Linked DNA regions of Drosophila melanogaster. Changing the gene in region 1 together with any one later gene gives a genetic interaction. Each region holds a gene or a part of one and is shown in the gene's direction. Other genes may lie near its edges.

What was found. Genes that interact genetically often act in the same process or in processes that back each other up.
Region 2: of puc (region 1) and RpL7, changing one suppresses a phenotype caused by changing the other (phenotypic suppression), as found in Drosophila melanogaster (one study listed by BioGRID).
Region 3: of puc (region 1) and mol, changing one suppresses a phenotype caused by changing the other (phenotypic suppression), as found in Drosophila melanogaster (one study listed by BioGRID).

The regions. Positions count from the first base shown.
Region 1 is NT_033777.3:8,102,404-8,110,101, forward strand, and holds the start of puc (puckered), read left to right. Parts: upstream 1-2,928; 5' UTR 2,929-3,457; coding exon 3,458-3,692; intron 3,693-4,084; exon of another isoform or gene 4,085-4,336; intron 4,337-5,828; coding exon 5,829-5,975; intron 5,976-7,698.
Region 2 is NT_033779.5:10,197,514-10,203,665, forward strand, and holds RpL7 (ribosomal protein L7), read left to right. Parts: upstream 1-3,490; 5' UTR 3,491-3,635; intron 3,636-3,716; coding exon 3,717-4,015; intron 4,016-4,085; coding exon 4,086-4,545; 3' UTR 4,546-4,808; downstream 4,809-6,152. Other genes in the region: Sur (sulfonylurea receptor), read right to left, coding at 935-1,110; Ripalpha (RPA-interacting protein alpha), read right to left, coding at 2,319-2,723, 2,778-2,843, 2,903-3,025; CG34159 (uncharacterized protein), read right to left, coding at 5,370-5,519, 5,871-6,147. UniProt on the Drosophila melanogaster protein: Binds to G-rich structures in 28S rRNA and in mRNAs. Plays a regulatory role in the translation apparatus; inhibits cell-free translation of mRNAs.
Region 3 is NT_033779.5:14,993,716-15,001,092, reverse strand, and holds the start of mol (moladietz), read left to right. Parts: upstream 1-3,533; 5' UTR 3,534-3,577; exon of another isoform or gene 3,578-4,379; intron 4,380-7,057; 5' UTR 7,058-7,194; intron 7,195-7,377.

The DNA.
Region 1 (7,698 bases):
CAGCCCTAAATATTTGGGGGTGCTGGAGGTAGGGATTGTGTCGCCGTCGAGTGAGACCGGGGGGCATTCTCCTCTGCGCAGAGAGAAGGTGGTGTGGGAGGATTTATCAGCGTTGATCATGATGTTCCAGCGTTTCAGCCATGGATCCAGTGCATCCAGTTGCCTCTGGATGATGGCTGATGCTAATTGAGGGTTTGTTGCGGTGGCAAGGAACGCCGTGTCATCTGCATAGGTGGCTGCTGTGAGGTAACGGGAGGGTATGATAGGGAGGTCTGCTGTAAACAGGGTGTAGAGGATGGGACCAAGGACGCTGCCTTGAGGTACTCCGGCTCGTATAGGCCTTGTCGTGCTTGTTGAGGAACCGCATCGCACTTGGAACTCTCTTCCTTCAGTATACGATTTGAGTAGGGCATAGTGGGAACTGGGAAGGTGGGACTTGAGTTTGTAGAGGAGTCCAGGATGCCACACTCTGTCGAACGCCTGCTTGACATCCAGGAATACGGCCGAACAGTATCGTTTGTTCTCGAATGCATCTAGGATGCGTGCTACGAGCCGGTGGCATTGCTCGGGTGTTCCGTGGGATCGCCTGAAGCCAAACTGGTGATCAGGGATCAGTCAAGCCTCGTCCAGTACTGGCATGACTCTGCGCAGAAATACTCTTTCGAGTATTTTGGAGAGGATTGTCAGCAGACTAATCGGTCTATATGAGGCAAGATTGGCTTCAGGTTTTCCAGGTTTGAGGATGAGAATGACTTCTGCACGTTTCCATGATCTCGGGAAGTACCCTAGTGAGAAGCATCTGTTGTATATGTTGGCCAACAACTGGGAACAGGGAGGTGGCAGCATTTTAAGGGATGTGGCGTCGATGCGATCCAGTCCTGGGGATTTGCTAGCCTTTAGGGAGGCGATCTCTTGCGCAACCTCTTCTGGGGTGACGGGCTCTATGGGCAGGCTAGGAGGACATGGACTCTCTAGGAACCTGGTGGTTGCAGCACGCTCTTCGCCAGTGCATCTGTCAAATGGTGAGAATGCATTCTGGAGGTGATCTGCAAACGCTTCAGCTCTTTCGGCTTCAGAGCGGCACCAAGAGCCGTCCGCTTTGCGCACCGGCGACGCCTTCTTTGCAGGCCTCCTGATATGACGCGTGACTTGCCACAGATTATGTTGCGGGTCACCAGGTTCCAGCTCCTCAAGGAATCTGTCGAAGGAGTCTTGCCGTAGGGTACACAGCTTGTCCTTGAGTTCCTTGATGGCTCTGTTGAGTGCTGCCTTGTCCCTTGGGTTGCGCGAGAAGAACCAGATTCTCCTGAGGCGCCTTTTTTCCGCTACGAAGGCCGCAATTTCTGGAGACCAGAGGTGAAGGTCTCTACCGGGAGTTCTTGGGGACGTTGAAGGAGGAGGATTGGCAAACTCAGCAGCATTGTACATCTCATCCGTGAGAGTTTTGATTGCCGCATCGATGTTGCTTGGAGTGGAGAGTGGAGGATCCGGGTGCAGGGAGGACAGCATCCAGAGTGTGAACTTGGAGGCATCAGTGTGCTTCCCGGTGAGTCTTCTGGGCAACTCTTTTTTGAGGACGGGGATGTTGAGAAGCATTTTTATAGCGCTGTGGTCGGATATCAGCTTGTTATAGTTGGAGCAAGTTAGTCTGTCTTGCCCTATGCCTTTGGAGATAGCAAAATCCAGGAGGTCGGGCAGCAAGGAAGGGTTTGAAGGCCAGTGGGTAGGCTCACCAGAGGAGTGGCAATCCAGTCTTCTGCTCTGCAGGAATCTGTGGAGCGTTCTGCCTTTGGGGTTGATGGAGCGGGACCCCCACCAGGAGTGTTTGGCGTTGAAGTCACCAGCTGCTATAAAGCGAGGTCCAAAGGACTCAAAAAAATCTTGTAGGTGAGTCTCGGTGATCGAGTGTCTAGGTGGGAAGTAGACCGCTCCAACGGTGATGTCTCCATGTAGGCTGGAGATTCTGGCCAGGGCACACTGGGCCCATTCCTCCTGAAACGCAGGTAGCTCCGTGTACTGGATGCCACTCCTGATGAGCATGGCTGCTCCTCCGCGCGCTCTGCCAGATGGATGGTTGGCAGGGATGACATCGTAGCCGCTAATGCTAAAATGGGATCTGGGACAAAAGTGGGTTTCTGATACCAGTAGTACATCGATGGCATCTGTTTTTAGGAGGTGTTCCACCTCGGCTCTGCTCCTCTGCAGGCCGTTAGCATTCCAAATAACTATTTTTAGGCTTTGCATACTTTTGCGTTGAGGATGGAAGCAACAAGCTGCGTCATTTGCGAGAACATCTTCTCCATCATCCTTTCGACCATTCCTTCGAAGCGAGCAAACATTTGTTCCATGTTACTGGGTTGCGGAGATTCAGGTGGGGTTTGACGGGTTTGGTTGGGATTGGTTTGCTGAGGCACTTGGGTAGACATGAGCGCATCTCTGTAGTGACAAATAAAATGTTTTGACAACGAAGAATTTAAAGAGGTTTATAACGAGCATTGCTATATTCATAAAAATTATAATGAATAAATGGAATTCATCAATATAAACTAACAAAAGGTTTGAGCCCGAGATAAAAGAAAATTAGTATATATACAGCATGTCAAAAGCAATTATACAAAGTCAAATGTCAGCATGTTTCGAAAATAATTAACCTTTAACGTGTAATAAATAAAAAATAAATAAATAAAAATTGTATTATGATCATAGGTCAAAGTATGTAATAGCTTATTTTAACTTCATTTGTCAACAATTGTGGCTATTATATATACTTTAATTTCAAATTCAACCGCAAAGTCTTCAGTGTTGGTGAATTTGGTGAGCGTAGAGTAAAGTTTCAGCTTGTTAGCCTTTTTTAACTGTAGTAGCCTCTGGTCACACTAATCGCGTCTTTATCAAATTCGGTTATCAAATTTGTTTTGCGCCCGTTCATTCGTCTTGCGCTCATTCATTCGGTCATTCATTCGCCTTTTGAATACCGCTTCGAACGGTTGTGTCTACATCTTTGCACAACGAGTTCGAAAAATAACTAAGCTCCGCGCGAAAACAGTAGGAAATTAAAACTAGAATATTTCTGGTAAAAACATTTATCATTGGATACAATAATTTTAACACGAATCGTGAGAAGAGGAAGCAAACAATTAATACTAAAATAAAATATAAAAACGAGATCTACAACCCGCGCGTTTTTCGATTAATGAATTAAAAATAAGTGTGCGTGCTACAAGTGGAAATAAAACTCGATTTCTGGGCCCCCGACTTTTGGTTGCAACACACTTTATAACGGGAAGTGGCTCAACAAGTGGCTCGGGGATTATCTAATAAAGCCCTCCTACCGAAAATCATACTTAAATAATATAGATTATTATACGGGCAGAAAGCAACAAATAAAATATACATATATCAATTTTAAAACAACCAAAGGCCCCCATGTGTATGTGTGTAGTGTGAGCGCGTGCATATGTGTGTGAATCGAGAAACGCAGAGCAGCAGCAACAATAATAGCAACAACACTACAACGGCAACGTCAACAGCACGCAACAACAACAGCCACAACGGACGCTGTGAGTGCGACGGAGACGGCGACAGCGTGAGTCATATACAAAGTGAAATGAAAATGCGGATAAAGCGAGAAGCGCCGTGTCTTCTGTTATTTATGCCAATCCAAAATACCAACAACAACAATCGCATTGGTGGTAAGTACAAAAAGAAGCGAAAAAAAGAATCAAATCAACAGAAATAAGCAATAAGAAAAATCGTACAATTTAAGATTACACTCAAACCAATCAAAAGAGCGGGACAGGGAGAACGTATTAATCCCTCTCTCTTGCTCTCTTGATTTTTACCGCTCGGCATGCTGTTTACTTTTGCTGGGGCGCGAAAGAGAGGGGGAGCACACGTAAGCGTCTCCATTTCATTTCTACAAAAGCAAAAACAAGCAAAAAGAAACGAACTCGAGAGAGATCAGACTCAGAGTCAGTTACTTTTTTTCGCTCCATACGTGACTCACAATTCGCGTGTCTTTCAAAAATAAAAGCAAAAGAAGCGTTTCGATTCGTTTCTGTTGGCTGGATAAATGAAAAAAAAAATCAGTCAGTCCAACAAAATACGAGTACAAATAAAAAAAATAAAACAACAGAAAAAATGTAAAGCAAAGCAGGTTTCTCAAGCGGCCTGGCAACGCTGAAAAACCCGCTTTGAAACGACCTTTCGAGTACGAATTCATCGGCACAACAACAACAGAAGAAGGGAGAAGCGTGCGAAGGAGGAGGCCAAAAGGGGAGCAGAAGGAGAAAAAGCAACAGCCGCGGCAACAACTCAAAACTGAAGTTGGGAGTCGGTAAGAAAGAGCGGAAGAGCAGGAAGGGTTAGTTGCAAGGGCCAGGGGCGAAACTAAAAAGGGGTGCCCTCGTTGAGTCAAAGTTCCAAAACATTTACAGAATAGTTGAAATTTATTAAATATAATATAAGTTGAAGCATTACAATCGCTTTATAAATCACTTAAAATTAATATCATCTTAAAGTGAAAGATTTACTACCTTGTTGCCAAGTTTTTTTTAGACAATAAACAGCGAATTACTAATAACAGTAAACATAATGGCGAATCGCAACCCAAAAGTTGGACAAAATAGTGAACAGAAAGCTGATGCATAGCTCATTTCCAAAAGTAAACAAGCCACTGTATACTAATTAGCACTTTCCTATTTTCTACTCTACTTCACACCACTCCCCCCGTTTCCCACACCATAGGCCCCCTTCGAAACCCACACACTCCAGACCCAGACGCCCCTGGAGGTTTGCAATGCACTATTGGCATGCGATTTTACTTGTTTTACTAGCCGCAAACAACAACAACAGCGACAAAAAAAAAACATAACCAACGTTTCCTGCCGCGGTGAAAAGTTGGTTGTACTTTTTTTGAGGCTGTTGCTTTTTTCTGTGTTGTTTTTTGGCTTTTGAGGTCGCTTGGCTGATAACAGCAATTTTGTACCCCAGTAGTTTGCTCGAAGTTGTTTTGCTTTTCAGCATAAAAGAGACTATACTTTCTGGCAAGGCTGATAAAGTCGATTTGATCAAGTCAGCACAGTCCGAACTCCTAAGACCACTTTGAAAACATAATACAAACTGTAGCATTGGTTATCTTATCAAGTTTTTTCTTTTGACGGACGGCTGAAATGATACCCTTCAATCAAGGAACATGGCTTAAAATTAAAGTTTAGTGTAGGGGGAAAATCGTACTTGAAGTTTTTAAAAACAAATATTTACTACAAGATTAATTTTAATAATATTCGAAGAAATCAGAATGATGCTAAGAACATAAATATACCAGCATTAAAAACCCAAGATTGCCGTACTAAAAAAGTTTTCAACTATTTGTTATTGACAGCTTTTGTTCAGACTTACCTATAAATGAATAATCTGGATTGTGTTTTACTATAATATACTATCAAATTGGTATCGGGCTAGCTTACAAAGCGTTCTCTAATTATGCCTGCTCACTGTGATAAGCGACTTGTGAGCTGCGAGCGAATGTGGAAAACTTTGGCTTTGCATTCGCTCGTAATCAGGCGAAAAAGAAGAAAAAAAAACTCTAGAGCCGAAATAAATGTCTTACGTCAGTTTTGGCAGGCGGCAATCGAAACGAAATATTTTTGCGGTTTTTTTGAACGGGGAACCTGGCGCGACAAGTTTTTCGCACTGCGGTCCATACACGGTCCGTGCTGACATCATGGGTTATAAAATTAAGCAAATCGCTAACCGCCAATTAAAATCAGTTTTTAAATCACCGCATTAATGCGTATTTTCTGGTCTTCGTCTCCTTCCCTCGGCAGCCAATCAGAAGGACTATCCCAACAAGCGGTCCAGGGAGAATCTGGCATGTGACGAAGTGACATCGACGACGTCATCATCAACGGCAATGAACGGCGGCGGACGGACGCCGGCGCTAACCCGCAGCTGCTCCAGTCCGGCGGTCTACGGTAAGTGAAAGTCGGCTAAATGGGGAACCCAGCGCAAAGGTATGCGACCCGAAGACGGGTTTCAAACAATACTCTCTGTGAGTCGGTTAGAAATTTTTGGCAATTATGTGAAAAGTCGTGAATCGTCATGTATTTTGGTATGCAAGAAGTTAAAAACCTAATATTTCCACATGCAAACGTAGAGCATTGCATCTTGAAAACTGTTAGAGATATGATAAAATAATCAAATAATCAAACACTAATCACTCATAGTAGATTGCATAGATTGCAATCTAAAGCTGATCACAATAACTGTGCTAGTTAGGAAGTTACAAAGCATTGCGATCAAGAACGGAACTCAAGGGGCACCATATCGCCAGCCGATCGGGAAATCGCTCGATTGTTCTACTGTTGCATATTTGCATGTACATATGTATGAATAGTGCTGCTTGTGCTTACCATTGCATTTCATTTCCTACTTGGTCCAAGTTCAGCACCCCCTCTACAAACTGACCGTTCTGATAGTACAACATGGCGATAAATTGTCTCAGATTGTCATACAATCTTTCCGTCATTTCGCCCCATCTCTTTCTCGCACTTGTGAGCTCTGCTTTAACATTAAAAACAAACAGTTTTGTTTTTGCTTTGGCACGTGCTGTGAGATAAATCGCTCGCTCTGTAGCGCTCTCTTGCTCGCACATTTAACTCGTATTTTTGCACGTTACGAAATGTGGTGTACGTATATGTACATACATGTGTATGAAAAGTATGCGAAAGCAGCAAAACATATGCAAAACAATAATAACAAAGGTAGCAACAACAACGATTGTCATACAGAGAAATTTTCAATGTCAAACTTTTGCATATTACTCAGTTACTCACGTTGGGCATCGTACTAAATCTCGGCTTTGAGTGGGGTAACCCTCAACTTATACATACTTACATATGTATGTATGCATGTACATATGTACATGTATACCGCTTTTCCACCTGACAAAGGTGTGATCACATCGTGATGGGCTTCAGTATCTTCCATATAGTAATGAATTATTATAGATGAAAAACTAAAAATAATTTTTAGTTCAATCATAATCTCAGGCCTATACTAATGCTAAAAATCATTTGATTTGAATATACATTATCGGTCAATATATTTCCAATGCAACATTTGGAGACAAGTGTTTCTAATGAAACAGTTATTTAAAATTATTTCACATATCTGTAAAAAAAAAAAGTGAATAAGATATAGGGGTGGCAATGACTCACAATAGGTCACAGTTATAATCAATCGTTATTCACCACCAATACAAAGGAAACTTCCAAAATGTAATAATATATTTTTTTACGATATTGGCAATTCCCTGCGCTTACAAATTACCGATCGATTTCTGTTTGGGGATCTATAGACCACCGTCATTACAATGTTTGTTAGTAAAACACTAGCGATTCCTGTTTATCGAATCGACAGCTGAGTCACTGTGGAATTATTTATGAAATCTTTTAATTGCATTCTTAATACATTACTGTGTACTTTGTGTATATTTTTGTATATGTAGTGCTATCAGAAGGGGCTTGCTGGCGTAAATGCCGCAATGACAATCATCTTTACGTGTAAAGTAAAGTTCCAACGTGCTGCCGATGACTAATGCAAGTGATTTCCGTGTGACCCACAAAGTGCAGCCAGCCCAAATAAATAAATATAAATGAAAAACACGAAGTTGCGTTGCCATGGCTCTCAGTGCTA
Region 2 (6,152 bases), on another chromosome or scaffold:
TTGCAGAACCAATTGAGATTTACCCATTTGAGATACATCCCATTGAGAATACTTTGGCACGCGATGCGTTATTTTTTTTTTCGAATTTGGAATGCCAAGTTGATTGTTTTTTAATTTCGCTGCGGGTTGCATTCGATTTTCAATGCACTTGAAGTACGGATATCAATTATGGGATTTTGAGTGAGTTTCCGGAACAAAATAAGGGGGAGATAATATATTTTATTCTAATTCTATATGTATAAATAGTTTTTCCTGTAAGGAAATACCGATCTTTTGACCTTTAGAAATTTCCGAGAACAAGTAACAATACTTCCTTTTTGGTCATAAAATTTTCACGTTTACTTTTTGTTTAAACAAACAATTAGCAACAGTCGATTGTGTATGCAAATGACTTAAAGTGCGTGCAAAAGAATAAAAATTAAGCACTTAAAATATGTTTTATGTTATCTTGGGCCATAAAATGCTGTCTGTGTGATTTCTAAATGAGGTAACAAACTTGAGCTCCCTAGTCATTTCTCCAGAATTCGTTTAATCTACAAAACGCATGTGCTAAATTTAAACAAATGTGCTCATTTGCTTCTCAAAAATATACGTATACATTTGTTGAATTTATTTACACTCTTATTTTGGACCTAATTGAGCAAGGAGTAAACTGGACATCAAACTTCTGATGATAATCATTTGAAATCCATTACATGTGACCTTATTTTCGTTTAAGAGCTTTGCACAATTTCAAGCAAAAAATCGCTTGCTCTGCTGTAAACAAAAGAAGTACATGTTTACACTTGGGTCGAAAATAAACAAATAAAAAAACAGAGCGAAATTCACTATTATTTTAGTTTAAACTTGAAAGTGTGTCAATTCAACTCTGGCCGCCCAAGTTGCAAATATACACATATCATATATTTAAATCCCGCAAATGAATAAAACTCACTTTTTGTATCTACTGCAAACAAACATCAATCCGAAAAGTAGCAGAAAAATGCTGAAAAACGTAAAAACACGCCGCACACGGTCAATGCCACAGATATCTGTATTCAAATTGTCATAAATGGAGCGAACATGCCCATTCAAGTGATCACAGTGTATTATATTGAACAACTGCTTCATGATGGCCAATAAAACCATGAACTTATGGCCAAAACGCTTATTGAACACTGCAAGAAGTTTTCACTTTTCCGATTTCAATTTAAAATCATTTGTATTTCGCTCACTATTAAATCGAGTCCATAGGCAGCACTTTGAAAACTTTGCGCCCAACAGGTTGAGCAGCAAATACAGAATCGCTCAATATAAACAAACTATTTCGCAATCGGGAATATGCAGTGCAATGTGTGTTATGCCCGATCCAATTCGATATATGTACATATATATATATGTATGTACATATGGATGGTACCACAATGGATTTCGTTCCAAAGCGAGAAGAGCGCGCCGCGTCCCCGGTTGCCATTCAATTATTATTATTATTCTTTTTAAGTAATTTTTGTATAAACAACACACAACGCAGAGATATGTGTGGCGCACGTTCGGCCGCGATTAAGAAATCTTCGCGAGAAGAAAAGGCCAACCGACTCCGACCGAGCGTGGCGGCTCACTAACCACACTGAGCACATACATTCTCGCCAGCAGGAAAAACGACGAAGTGCCAGTCAGCCCGAACTCGAGAAGATATTGCACTGATCTGAATCTGAATCTGAATCTGGGGGATCGCGCACGTGCGCGATGGGAAAAAGCTCTTCCCACATCGCCGGAATCGTGGGGTGCCAGCCCACTGATACCATCGACCCATATATGATGCACTAAATCAACTCGAAGCGAACCAGAAGTTATAAGCAATTAATAAATAGTTTGTTAAACTTTACAATAAGCAGAGAAAAACGTTTTATATTCATAAATCAAACTTAGTCTCGCACCTGATTTATTTTCTTAATCTAGAATGCCACATTAGAAGAATGGTTTAGTTTGAATTTTGTAAGAGCCTAGAATACATTTTATAAATCTGTTATTCCTAAGATTTTAATTTTAATTTGTTGTGCAATTATAACAATATGCTTAAAGATCTCATTTCTAGCCATAACTCATATCATTCTTTGGATTTAGATTAATTAGGGGGGGAATATCATGTATCACTGTTTCAAAAATTTAATACGCATATAAAGCCTTCGGATCTAAAAAATCTTCTGTGCAGATCTCTGGTTTTCCAAACTGATAAGACTGTCTGAAGTTTAACTTATGTAACTTATCTTATTATAACTAATAAACTCCTTTAAACTAGCTATCAGCAGTCAGCGGTAGAAACCAGCTCCATAAACGACCTAGACGGAGGAGAAGTAGTCGCAGCTGCCGCACATGTCGTATAGTTGTCCCGAAGCGGGTTCGATGAAAAATCGCAGGGCCTGAGTGCACTGAAGTTCATGGCTGGCGATTTGTTGTTGCAGCAGTATCTGCAGCTGTTCCATGTTCGCAGAGTGCTCGAAGCGGATGCCACACTCGCAGATGAAGGCACCTTTGTGATGGCGTAGGTTTTTAATCTGACAAACTGGGCATAAAACCTCCTTTTGCTGCTCATCGGGCTCTGCGTATAGCGTTTCCAGATTCTTTTCGCCCAGGGCATACCACTCGTTGACATCGGATAGTAGCTCCTCCAGAATCAGCTCCTCAAGCTCCACATCCTTCTCTAGCTCACTGAGTTCCAGGCGCAGGATTTCCCTGAGTTCGGACTGAAAAAATGGGTGGTTTATGATGGGCTTACTATGGAGATTTGTATGTCCTACCAATTGGATTTCTCGTTGGGCATCCGTGCATCTATTGCGCGTTTCTATGATGCGCTTGCGGTATTTCTACAGGGTATTTATGTGTAAGTATATTGGTACTTTAAGGGGTACACTGATGTCTTTACCTCTCGCAGCATTTCGCGAAGTCTTGGCATTTGGTTGCCCATCCGCTGTCTTTTGGCCACTTCTTGAGCATGCCGCTTTTGCTCCACGGAGGTGCGATAAACCGGGCTTTGAGTGGAGTTCATTTCGGTTTATTTGTATATGTGGTTATTTTGTTTGTTTTTAATCTTTTTTTTTAACTAGATATGGTAGGTCAGTGTCGTCAATAAGGCAAGGTTCCAATTTTATAGCGCTGTTGGTGATTGATAGTGATCTAAAAAGTATACGGTATTCAAAATTAATTAGGTAAATTAAGTGAAATGAAGTAAATGTAAGATACGACTCATCTCCACATATATATAAAAGATTATAAAATAAGTAGTATTACTTAACACAGCCCATGAAGACAGCTCGCACAATGAATTCATGAACTAAGGGCGGCTTAAATACACTATTAACATGTTTAACCAACTTACCTAGTAATTAGCAATCGGAAATAGTTGAAAAACACAACTTTTTTGCTAAAAAAAAAAATCCGCGCAATTTGCTGTTGCTCTGCTAGTGGTGGCACTTCTTCGATAGCCCACTCCGCGGCCAGTGTGACCGTTTGGCCGATGGCGCGCGTGTCACGTGTGCACGCATTTCGCAGCACTGAAAGCAGGGTTGTACCGATTTGACAGCCCGAAGTTGGCGTATAGCACGTTTCCGGTCTTTCTTTCCCTTTCTTTTACCAGCGTGTGCAGTGACTAGTAAAAGGTTAGTGCGATATTTTCAATAAAAATACCATCCAAAGTGAAAGGAAACCGCTCAAATGCCATTGTTTTGTGCCGCCCACAGATGCCTGCTCCGGTCGTCAAGAAGCCAGCAGCGAAAAAGCTGCCCGCCGTGCCGGAATCGAAGCTGAAGTTCAGCAAGAAACAAATCTCCAAGCGAGTCGCCGAGTCGAAACGTCGCCTGAAGAAGGCCGCCGTGATTGCCCTGCGCAAGAAGGAGAACCTGGTCCGCGCCGAGAAGTACCAGAATGAGTACATCAAGGCGGAACAGCGCGAGATCAAGCTGCGTCGCTTGGCCAAGAAGCGCAACCAGTTCTACGTGCCCGCCGAGGCCAAATTGGCCTTTGTCGTCCGTATCCGCGGGTAAGTCCTCTAATGCTCCTCCATGCACAAGTCACACCAATTCATGCCCAATCCCATTAACCGCCAACAGTATCAACAAGGTGGCTCCCAAGGTCCGCAAGGTTCTGCAGCTGTTCCGTCTGAGGCAGATCAACAACGGTGTGTTCATCAAGCTGAACAAGGCCACCATCAACATGCTGCGCATCGCCGAGCCCTACATCACCTGGGGCTATCCCAATCTGAAGTCCGTGCGGGAGCTGATCTACAAGCGTGGATTCGTGAAGCATAACCGCCAGCGCGTGCCCATCACCGATAACTTCGTGATCGAGCGGAAGCTGCGTCAGGCGCACCAAATTCAGTGCGTCGAGGATCTTGTCCATGAGATCTTCACCGTGGGGCCCAACTTCAAGTACGCCTCCAACTTCCTGTGGCCCTTCAAGCTAAACACCCCCACCGGCGGCTGGCGCAAGAAGGCCAACCATTATGTCAACGGTGGTGACTTCGGCAACCGCGAGGACCAGATCAACCGTCTGCTGCGCAAGATGGTCTAAGGACTCCTTTTGATTTATGTGCTGAAACGACAACTGCAGCGGTTCGATGTAAACAGTGAGAGAAATAAAAGTTACTTTTATAAACCCACGAAATGCCGTTCAGTACAAAAACGCAGTGTTTTCGCTTCGATTCGCTGATTTAGTCATTGCGACTTAAATTGGAAAATATCAGTGAAGAGAGAGAGGACTTTTTTAAGGAACGTTTAGTTAAATGTACCAATAGTTTCATAACAACTTTAAATTTAGTAATTTTCTTTCATTTTAATGTTACATTTTTACTTTAAAGAATTCTGCGGTACTCCAGAAAGTCTTGCCCTTTGCTAAGATTAACCCCACGTTCAGTATAATTTTTTGGTTTGCTAATCGTTAATAATTCGATGTATAGCAATATTTAAATTTAAAATTTAGACAGTTTGCTTTTGTAGGCCCATTATTTGAAATGAAAACACAGGATTCTTGTTAATTTGTCTACGCTCTAGATTGTTTATTGTTGTTCTGGTCAAATTTTAAGCGCGCTTAGTGCACAACACTTAAATGCAGATAGCAAGCTAGATTCAGGGTGCCAGGGATAAAAATCGTTTGCCAATGTACACTTTATTGAATCATGGTTTGCCTTTCAGCTGGCAGTGGATTTAAATCGTTTTTTTTTTTTTTACACACACAATAGTCCAAAGCAGTTAGCAAACAAACATAAATTGTAAATTCCAATAGCATGGAAATTAGTCAATAATCGGGAGGAAGCTGGCACCCTTTTTAAATGTATAATTTAATTAATCGTTACCACATGGAGCACATGCCGTTGTCCGCTGTTCAGATTCCCGCTTCTACTGGTGTCCACCGGCCTGCGTGGTGGTCACATGGATGTTCTGCACCAGGCGCTGGCCCCAGTACTCCTCCAAATCGAATGGCTTAAAGTTCTTCAGCTGATTGTCGGATTCGTTGCAGTACAGCACAGGTGGACCCTGTTCGTAGACCTGGAGAGAGAGCAAAGCATGAAGAGCAACCGACAATTTGGACCGGGGACCGCGAATCTCAATGGTTTTCACCATCAAAATGCTCTTGAATATTTTAGAAAGATACCTAAAGGTAACTTGTTGGACTCGAGGTTGGCTATTTCTAAACTAGATCTTGATGCCTAAAATGCATAGAATGATCCTGCTGATCGAAATTGGAATTATCCACTATCGTTTCCTATTCTTCTAAAGAAAAGATTGGACTGCAAAGTCTGAATAACGAGCAAGTGTTCACGGTCCCTGATGTCCGCGTGCGAAAAGCGAAGCAGGGTGACAAAGGAGCGGCCTTTTGGATCCAAGTAAGCTGCTCACCTTGATCCATGCCCCCCGGATGTACCGGATGAGCTCATCGTGCTGCGAGATTGGCAGGCTCTGTGGTTGCTGTTGTTGCTGCTGCTGTCCGGCGGCGGAGGCGTAGAGCGGATTGCTGTTGTTATGGCCACCGACGGACGGAGAGTTTCCGGCACTGTGGTTATTGTATCCCGGCGAATTGGACGCCCCCGCCGCCGAATTGTTGTTATGGTGGTGATGGTAGCTGTGCGGCGCATTGTGCCCGCTGTTCTGCCGCCTAATGTTGTAGGGATAGCGTCTAAA
Region 3 (7,377 bases), on another chromosome or scaffold:
TATACTGATTTATATTTAAATACTCCTCATTTGTATATATAAGTTTTAGAGTAAACCATTTTTGATTACCAATAAATACAATCAATGAAGATAACTTTTGATGGATTGTAGTTCTAAACAGTGATTTTATTTAATTCAAAATTACCAATTCTTCTCATTGCCACCTCGTCAAGGTCGCACCTGTGGCGCCCGAGCACCTTTTAAGTGCCCCCCTTCCATCAACTGCCACAATTAGCCTCCAGAACCACCCAAGTCGTGTGTGTGTGCCGCCGCCTGTCACATCATCAACGCGCTCGTCAACAAAACAAGCCACCGGCCAAAATTGTATTAAAAATTAATTAAACAAAAAGCTGAGACTAATGTGAAAAACAATATAAAACACATTTGGCGCTTGCACTTGACCTTCCTCATTGCGAGCACTCGGACCAAAGAAAAAAAAAAAACGAAATGTATTAAATGTGGGAATTCGGGGGCTGAAAAGGCGGCAGGCATGCCGCATGCCACGTAATTCGTCGGTAGCCACTGTTTTTGCTGGAATTTCTGAGTTTGAACTTCATGAATTTAATTTGTGCGTAACGTATATTTCGCTTGTTTATAGTTTGTCGGGCTGAAATCAAGGCAACTGAATCGACTGAATTCAATTTCGGCGACTGTCGGCCGGCTTACATGGCGTATGCGCAACTTGATTAATTTATTACTCGGCGCATGTCTCTGAGTGCGTATGTAATTGTAATTGACATTCAAGTCGATTACTTCCTTATTTGGTTTTAAGTCAATTTTAGTGACGCATAGTTCGCTTCACTCGGGTAAACCTTTTGGAGCGTGAAATAAACATATTATTTTATCACTCAATTAATAATAATACAAAATACAGAAAATCTTAAGCCGTTTGCAACATTTTACTAATCATAGCTTATTCATAAGCCCTGCAAATCCAGTAAGTTATTATAATTTTTAAAAGCAATCTGCTTATTTGCCATCGCAAGCACTGCGGCTTCCATTAAGCCCATTATAATTATACTACAATTACCATTCCATCGACAGACAACAATCTCCCATCGCAGCACATTTAATGCACTATCATCGCACTGAACGGCAAAATCGAGAAGACCTTGAACTTGAGACGATTGCAAAGTAACTCCGAGAGCATCAGCACTCGCTTTATTTCCATTATAATTTTCCATTACACTGCCCTTTCCCTTTTTTTTTCGTGGTATAAACCTGGGGATATTTTGTATCTGCTTTTTTTTTTCTTCTTTTTGCCGCTGACAGCTGGCAGTTGAGTTATGAATGCTTTTAGTGGAGGTTCGCCGAAACTGAGTCAGTCGAGCAGTTCCAAAATCGGCAATAACAGAAACAATGTCCAACCGAAAGTGACCGCCGCGTGGTTTGCATTCCTGATATGGGACACGTACGGTGTCCGTCGTTTTTTTTTGTGGTCTACTTCGTCGGCGATTCTGTGGCCCCAGGGACCAACGACCGTCCTCGGTCTGGGCGCGCCAAATCCGTAGGCATCGCGACACATCCGGATTTTGTGTCTGTTTTTTATATTTTCATTTAAGTCTTAAACGGTAGCCGCATTATGCGTAGCTCAGAAGTTATCTCCTCTTGTCGAGTGATTAATTTTAATTTTTTTTTTTCGCTTTTATTGCTGAATAATTTTTATTTACTGCTTGCAATCGATAAATTTTTGTTGTTCGAAAAAGGGCATTTCATGTTGGCCATTCCCGTGCGGCCTGCAGTCGTTGACCGCTTTGAACTGACCTTGCCGCGCGAATTTTCGTTAATTTCAACTTTGTGGTCACCGCTTTGCTGCACTGGTCCGGGATGCTGTTGTTTATGTTTTTCAGACTTTTCTGGTTTTTATCGCCCATCAAGGTGATAGGTTTGCATATAAATGACGCTAGAACAAAAGACTTTGGCGACGAACTCGTGGTGACTAAACATGTGTACGAATTCACTGTGAGAGCAGTCAAAAGAATTGGTTTGCCCCAAGATATTTATTTTAATGGGAATGAATCATTGGACTGCGTAGCGGAAGTTTATTCGTAGCTAGGGAATCGATTATGATGAAGTCCGTTTGCCAATAAGCAAAAAAAAAAAACTAAACACCAGTTTTAAAAACCTTTTTCGAAGCATTTTTAACATAAAGTAAATATTTCAGTAGTTTAGATACTTCCTTTATAAATTGCATGCTGTAAAAATAGTTATACGACTTTAGAAGTTTTTCAGCCAGCTTTAAGCACCACATTTTTTTCCAAACACAGAATAATACTTTTTTAAATCCAAAGACTAAGTACATCGGCTAAACTCTAGAGAGCCTTACGTATAATGAATTACTGATTTTACAGCAATATTTACATTTTTGTTTATGTATGTTTTTATGGCTAATTTTGCACATCATAAAAGATTCACTACTAAGGCAAAGACAACAAGATCTAGCATACTGCGGCTGAAAAGTGGCTTTGGCGTCGACCAGCCAAATTTGCAACTGTCGAGATTCACAAGTCGGATGGATTGACTGGACATAAACAGAGATCACGGAGGCTAACTTGGTGATTTGGCTTGGCGTTGGTGCGTGGCACGGTAGTCGCTAGTAAAAATTCAATTAGCAAATTAAATATTAATTACCAGACGGGTCTCTATGCTAATTGAATTAGCAATAGTAGCAGCTGGCAAATAACTAAATAAAGGAAAAAGTATTGGGGGTTTTTAAGTTGGAATGCTGCGAAGATGGAGTTTTTGAGGATTCGTTTTAATATTATCCAATATTTGGCACCTATTTTTTCTGACATAATTGTTTAAATTAAAGAATGTTGTATGAAAAGTGGAAATTGCAATTTAAAATTTGAAATTTTGATATTATAACGATTGCATTTTTGATTATACAATGCAATTACGTTTCATTAAGTTTTATTTTGGTTTAATAATAAATGTCTCATTTTAACATACTACCTTATAAATAAATCTTTTGTTTTTATGTCCAGTAATGCATTATACATTAATATTTTAAGTGGGCCTTAATTTATATCAACCAAATTAAAATGTCAGATGATAAAATTACGTTTGAGAGTTTTATTTTGTTTCCTTTTTTGTAACAATGCAAGTTCTAATATTTTCGGAGCACAGCTGTTTATACTAATATTATTTCTCCTCGTGACAGGTGCCAATGCTATTCTCGCCCGGCTGATTAAAGTATATAATTTGCCGCTCGGCTGTGAATTTAGTGTGAGGCCAGGCCCAAGATGAACCAGTTTGCGGTTGGAAAGTGTGGCAGCCTAGAGTCGGACAAGGTCCCTGATCAGGAATAGCCCTGGCGATATAGCCCAAGTTCCCTGTCGGATTTTTTGATATTTTTTATTTTAATAATTTTTTTTTTGATTTTCTGACTTTCCGACATGACTGCTTCATAAATTCACACTCACTTAAGCCTGCAATTAGCGGTCGAGCAAAAAGCTCCCATCGCTTTGGAGCTTTGGCGCTCTGTTGCTCTCTTTTGGGAAGGTTTTGTCTTTTGCTCACCGCTCTCGGCGTTCAGTTGATCGACGGCAAGCTCTCGAAACGGACGCAGATTTTTGTAAGTCGCCGCCGCGCCTGCGCATTTTAAATCAGTTGCAACAAAAAAACAACGAGAGGCAGCGAAGACGAAATCGAATTGTGTTTTTATTTGTTTGCTTTTGTTTTGTCTGTGTGTTATGCCATGCACAAAACCACCGTGTTCGTAAAAGTGGAGAAAAATCAAAAATCGAAAATTCAAGCCGAAATAAGTTTGCCAAAACAAAAAGAAACCGCAAAAGCCGCGTTATAATAACGCAAATAACGGTATTAAGTTTGAAGCTCATCTAGTTATTTATGCTTTGCTCCTCGTGGTTGTCTGCAAAAATAAAACAAAAAAGCTTAAAACAAACAACAGTGTCGAAAAACCTTAACAATTTGCGCGCACATAAAATATAATTAAAGCCAGCAAATTTTTGCCTTAAACATAAAAAAGTTAATCAACTTGGTTGCAATTAAATGTTGCAATTTATTTTTTTGCAACTAAAGTGCGAAATATTCAGTGCAATACAATAACAAAAATAAATAAGTTTCTCTGAAGCAATACAAATAAAAGTTTCTCTGTAGAAATATAAATAAAAAAATACCAAAATCCATATTATCAAAAATTCAATAAGATATGTAAATAAATAGTTTGGTATACTCAAGCAAAAATAGAATGCTGAACAATGGATAATAAATTATTTATTTTTTTGGGTAACAAACTGATTGCCGAGACTTAAAAGACACCGAGAACTAAAAATAAAATATGATAGATCAAACAAAAAAATTCCCAAACATCTAAAGAGGGAGTCCGCCATTCCTCAAACGTATGTGTGATGGGTGTATGTGTGGGTGGGAGCGGGAAAATTGTGTTGGTAATTTCTAATGCACATTTTCCCTTTAGTATTACCCAACACAATGTTTTATTACCCTTACAGGAGTAACAGGAGTAACTAAACCTTTGATATTTCGATATTTATTAAAACATGAAAAAGAAAATTGATTATAACAACTTCCAGCAATTTTAAACCTTTTTTTTGTATTTTCCGCGAAAGCGTACATAAAGAGCGTATTTTTTTTAATACCCCTTCCTTTTACTGTATTTTCCTGCCTGCCCTTTTAGTTGTCGTTGAATTTGTATGACGTGTGTGCATCAGGTTGATTTTTGTGATGCGTTTTGCCTATGTAATTTCCATGTCAGGCGTTGGGATTACTTCATCTCCCGTTTCATTTCCTATATGGCCAGATGATTCAAACCAAACTGACCAGCGCAAAAATGAAAACAAAAACTACTGCTACAAAAAAACTAAAAAAAAAAGTTGCACGAAAAAGCCGGTTGAAGGCAACTCTTACATATTTACACGCACCAGCGCTCATTGAACACACGCCGCCAGCAGCAACAACAAAGCTAGCACGGGAAAAAATTGTTTTAAACAGTTACTAATATTTTTATTAATATATTAGTAAGGATTATATTGATAAATAACAGTACTACAAAAAGTAATATCAAGATATTCATAATATTCATATATGACATAAATCATACAATTCCGAGTAATTATTTTCTCTCACTGCATTACAGCAACAGCAACAAAAGCAATATCAACAGGGCGACACAGAAACCTGTTGTTGTAGCTCTTGGTGCCTCTCTTGCTGTCTCTGTCTCGTCAAAAGACATTTGCAGAGTTTCCAGCTGCGTGTTGATTATGTCAATTTCATGTTTACTTCATTTCCTCAATCCACCGGCAAAGGTGTTAGAGAGAGGGGTATAGTGGGCGGAAAGGGGTGCGCCAGCAATTTCACTTTCGTTGGACTTGAAAATAAAAGCTGCAGTCTCTGTGGCAGTGTGAGCGAGTGCGAGAGAGAGAGAGAGAGAGAGATTATTGGAGCAAGATGGAAGGAGGTTGGAGCTTGGGAAAGAGAGCAAGTGAGAGTGAGAGTGCGCACAGCAAGTGTGCTGCATACGGTACTTGGATGCTGGTGCTGCTGATGCCTCACTTGCTTTGTGGGGCGTTGCTGCACCGTGGGTTATTGCTATTTAATGTTCTTGAGCATAAAATTGTGGATCGTGACTTTGGGCTCAGCAAATAATTCGTTTCACTAATCCGTATTGTTTCATATATAATATATTTTAAAAACCAGGTGACTAGTCACAATAACTAACTAACTGACTAGTTACAATAAAAGTTTTACCCAATTTTTTCAGATATTATGATGAAATCTTAAAAGAAGTGATACCAATTAGAATGGCTAAGCTCTGAGATATTTGAAGATTATTATTATTATTTTTGTTTATGAATTGTTATACTCTCAGTTTTCATATTTGCTTGAAAAGTTAGTTTGTTGATGTTTTAAGAACAATTATATGAATTTTGCAATGTTCATACGTCAATATAAGGATTATTATGTTACCATCCTTTTAATAACTGTACCACTGTGCGCCGGCGTCTTTTGTGTGCTACTCGTCGCATATTTTCCGTTTCGTTTTGTAACTGTAATGTCTGTTTTTCCCATTGTCCGATTGTTGCTGGTTGTCGCTTTTGTTTTGCGCTTATAACGTAATAACGTAATGTGCTCGAAGATTTCCACATGCGATGCGTCGCACCTTACGTTTTGGTGCCAAGTCCATCGCCGACGTCGACGTTCATTGTTTTTGCAGGCAATTGAGCCAATAAACTGACGCGAATCGTAGCGACTTACAAATTCCTGTCCGAAAAATATGCGAAGGTCAACCAGAGGGGCAGCACCAACAACCACAACGATATCGAATCCATAACAAAATAGTTGAGAACTCCCGCAAGTGGAGTTTCATACGAGTATGTTTGGTATTCGCACCTTCAAACATGATTTCACGGACTGTCAGCTTGGCAAAAATTCTAATTATAAATGAAACAATTTATTACCGGGTTTTTAAAATAAAATGCAATTTATGTGCAAAGTCTGGCGGCGGCGGCGGACTTGACTAGTTAAACCGGTTGACTGCCAGCAGCAGCAGCAGCAATGAAAAAAAATGGAAAAAGAACCATTGACTCAATGGGGGTGCAGTCAGCAACAGCAAATTGCAACTGCAAGGAAAACATTTTTCTTAAATATACGGAATTAATTAATAGAAGTTAAACAAAGGATAATTTCTTTAATAAATTCTAAACATTTATTTATTACGGCAGTGGTGAATTCGACAAAAAAAATTATAATTTAACCAAATGTATTTATTTGAAATCTATAAATTACATCTATATAATAAAACAAAAGCTTCGTTATATAACTCAGCAATAAATCTACTAAGTGCAATGTATAAAAAATCCTAATGAACATGTAGTTCAAAAATAACTCTAATAAATTTATCTCGAATAAATCAAACCGTTTAAAATCAAATAATTGAATACATGTTCACAGCTGTGAAAACAAGAATATTTTCGGCAAAATATTTCAACAAGCATAACCGATGTGTGTGTAAAATTTGTGCCTGTCTATATTATTTAATTCATTAATCATAAATGCAAATTTCTTGATTGTTTAGATACGTCTTAACGGCTAACTCGAAGCTATAAATTGGACATCAAAATTGGATTATACAAAAATAAAAAAAAATAACAAAGTGAACACGAAAAGTTAATAACAATTATTTTGTATGCCGGTTTCTTCTTGACAAGTTTGGTAAGTGAACTTTAAGACTTGATGAATGAGACTGAATGATAAAATAAATGTTAGATGACTTGTTGCCGCAATAAACGCCGGCTAATGAAGAAATAATGGTTTGCAAACAAATTTAAAAATAGGAACAATAGAATCATTGCGGAACTGGCCAACTTCATAGCCTTAAGCCAGCGATCTGAGTAT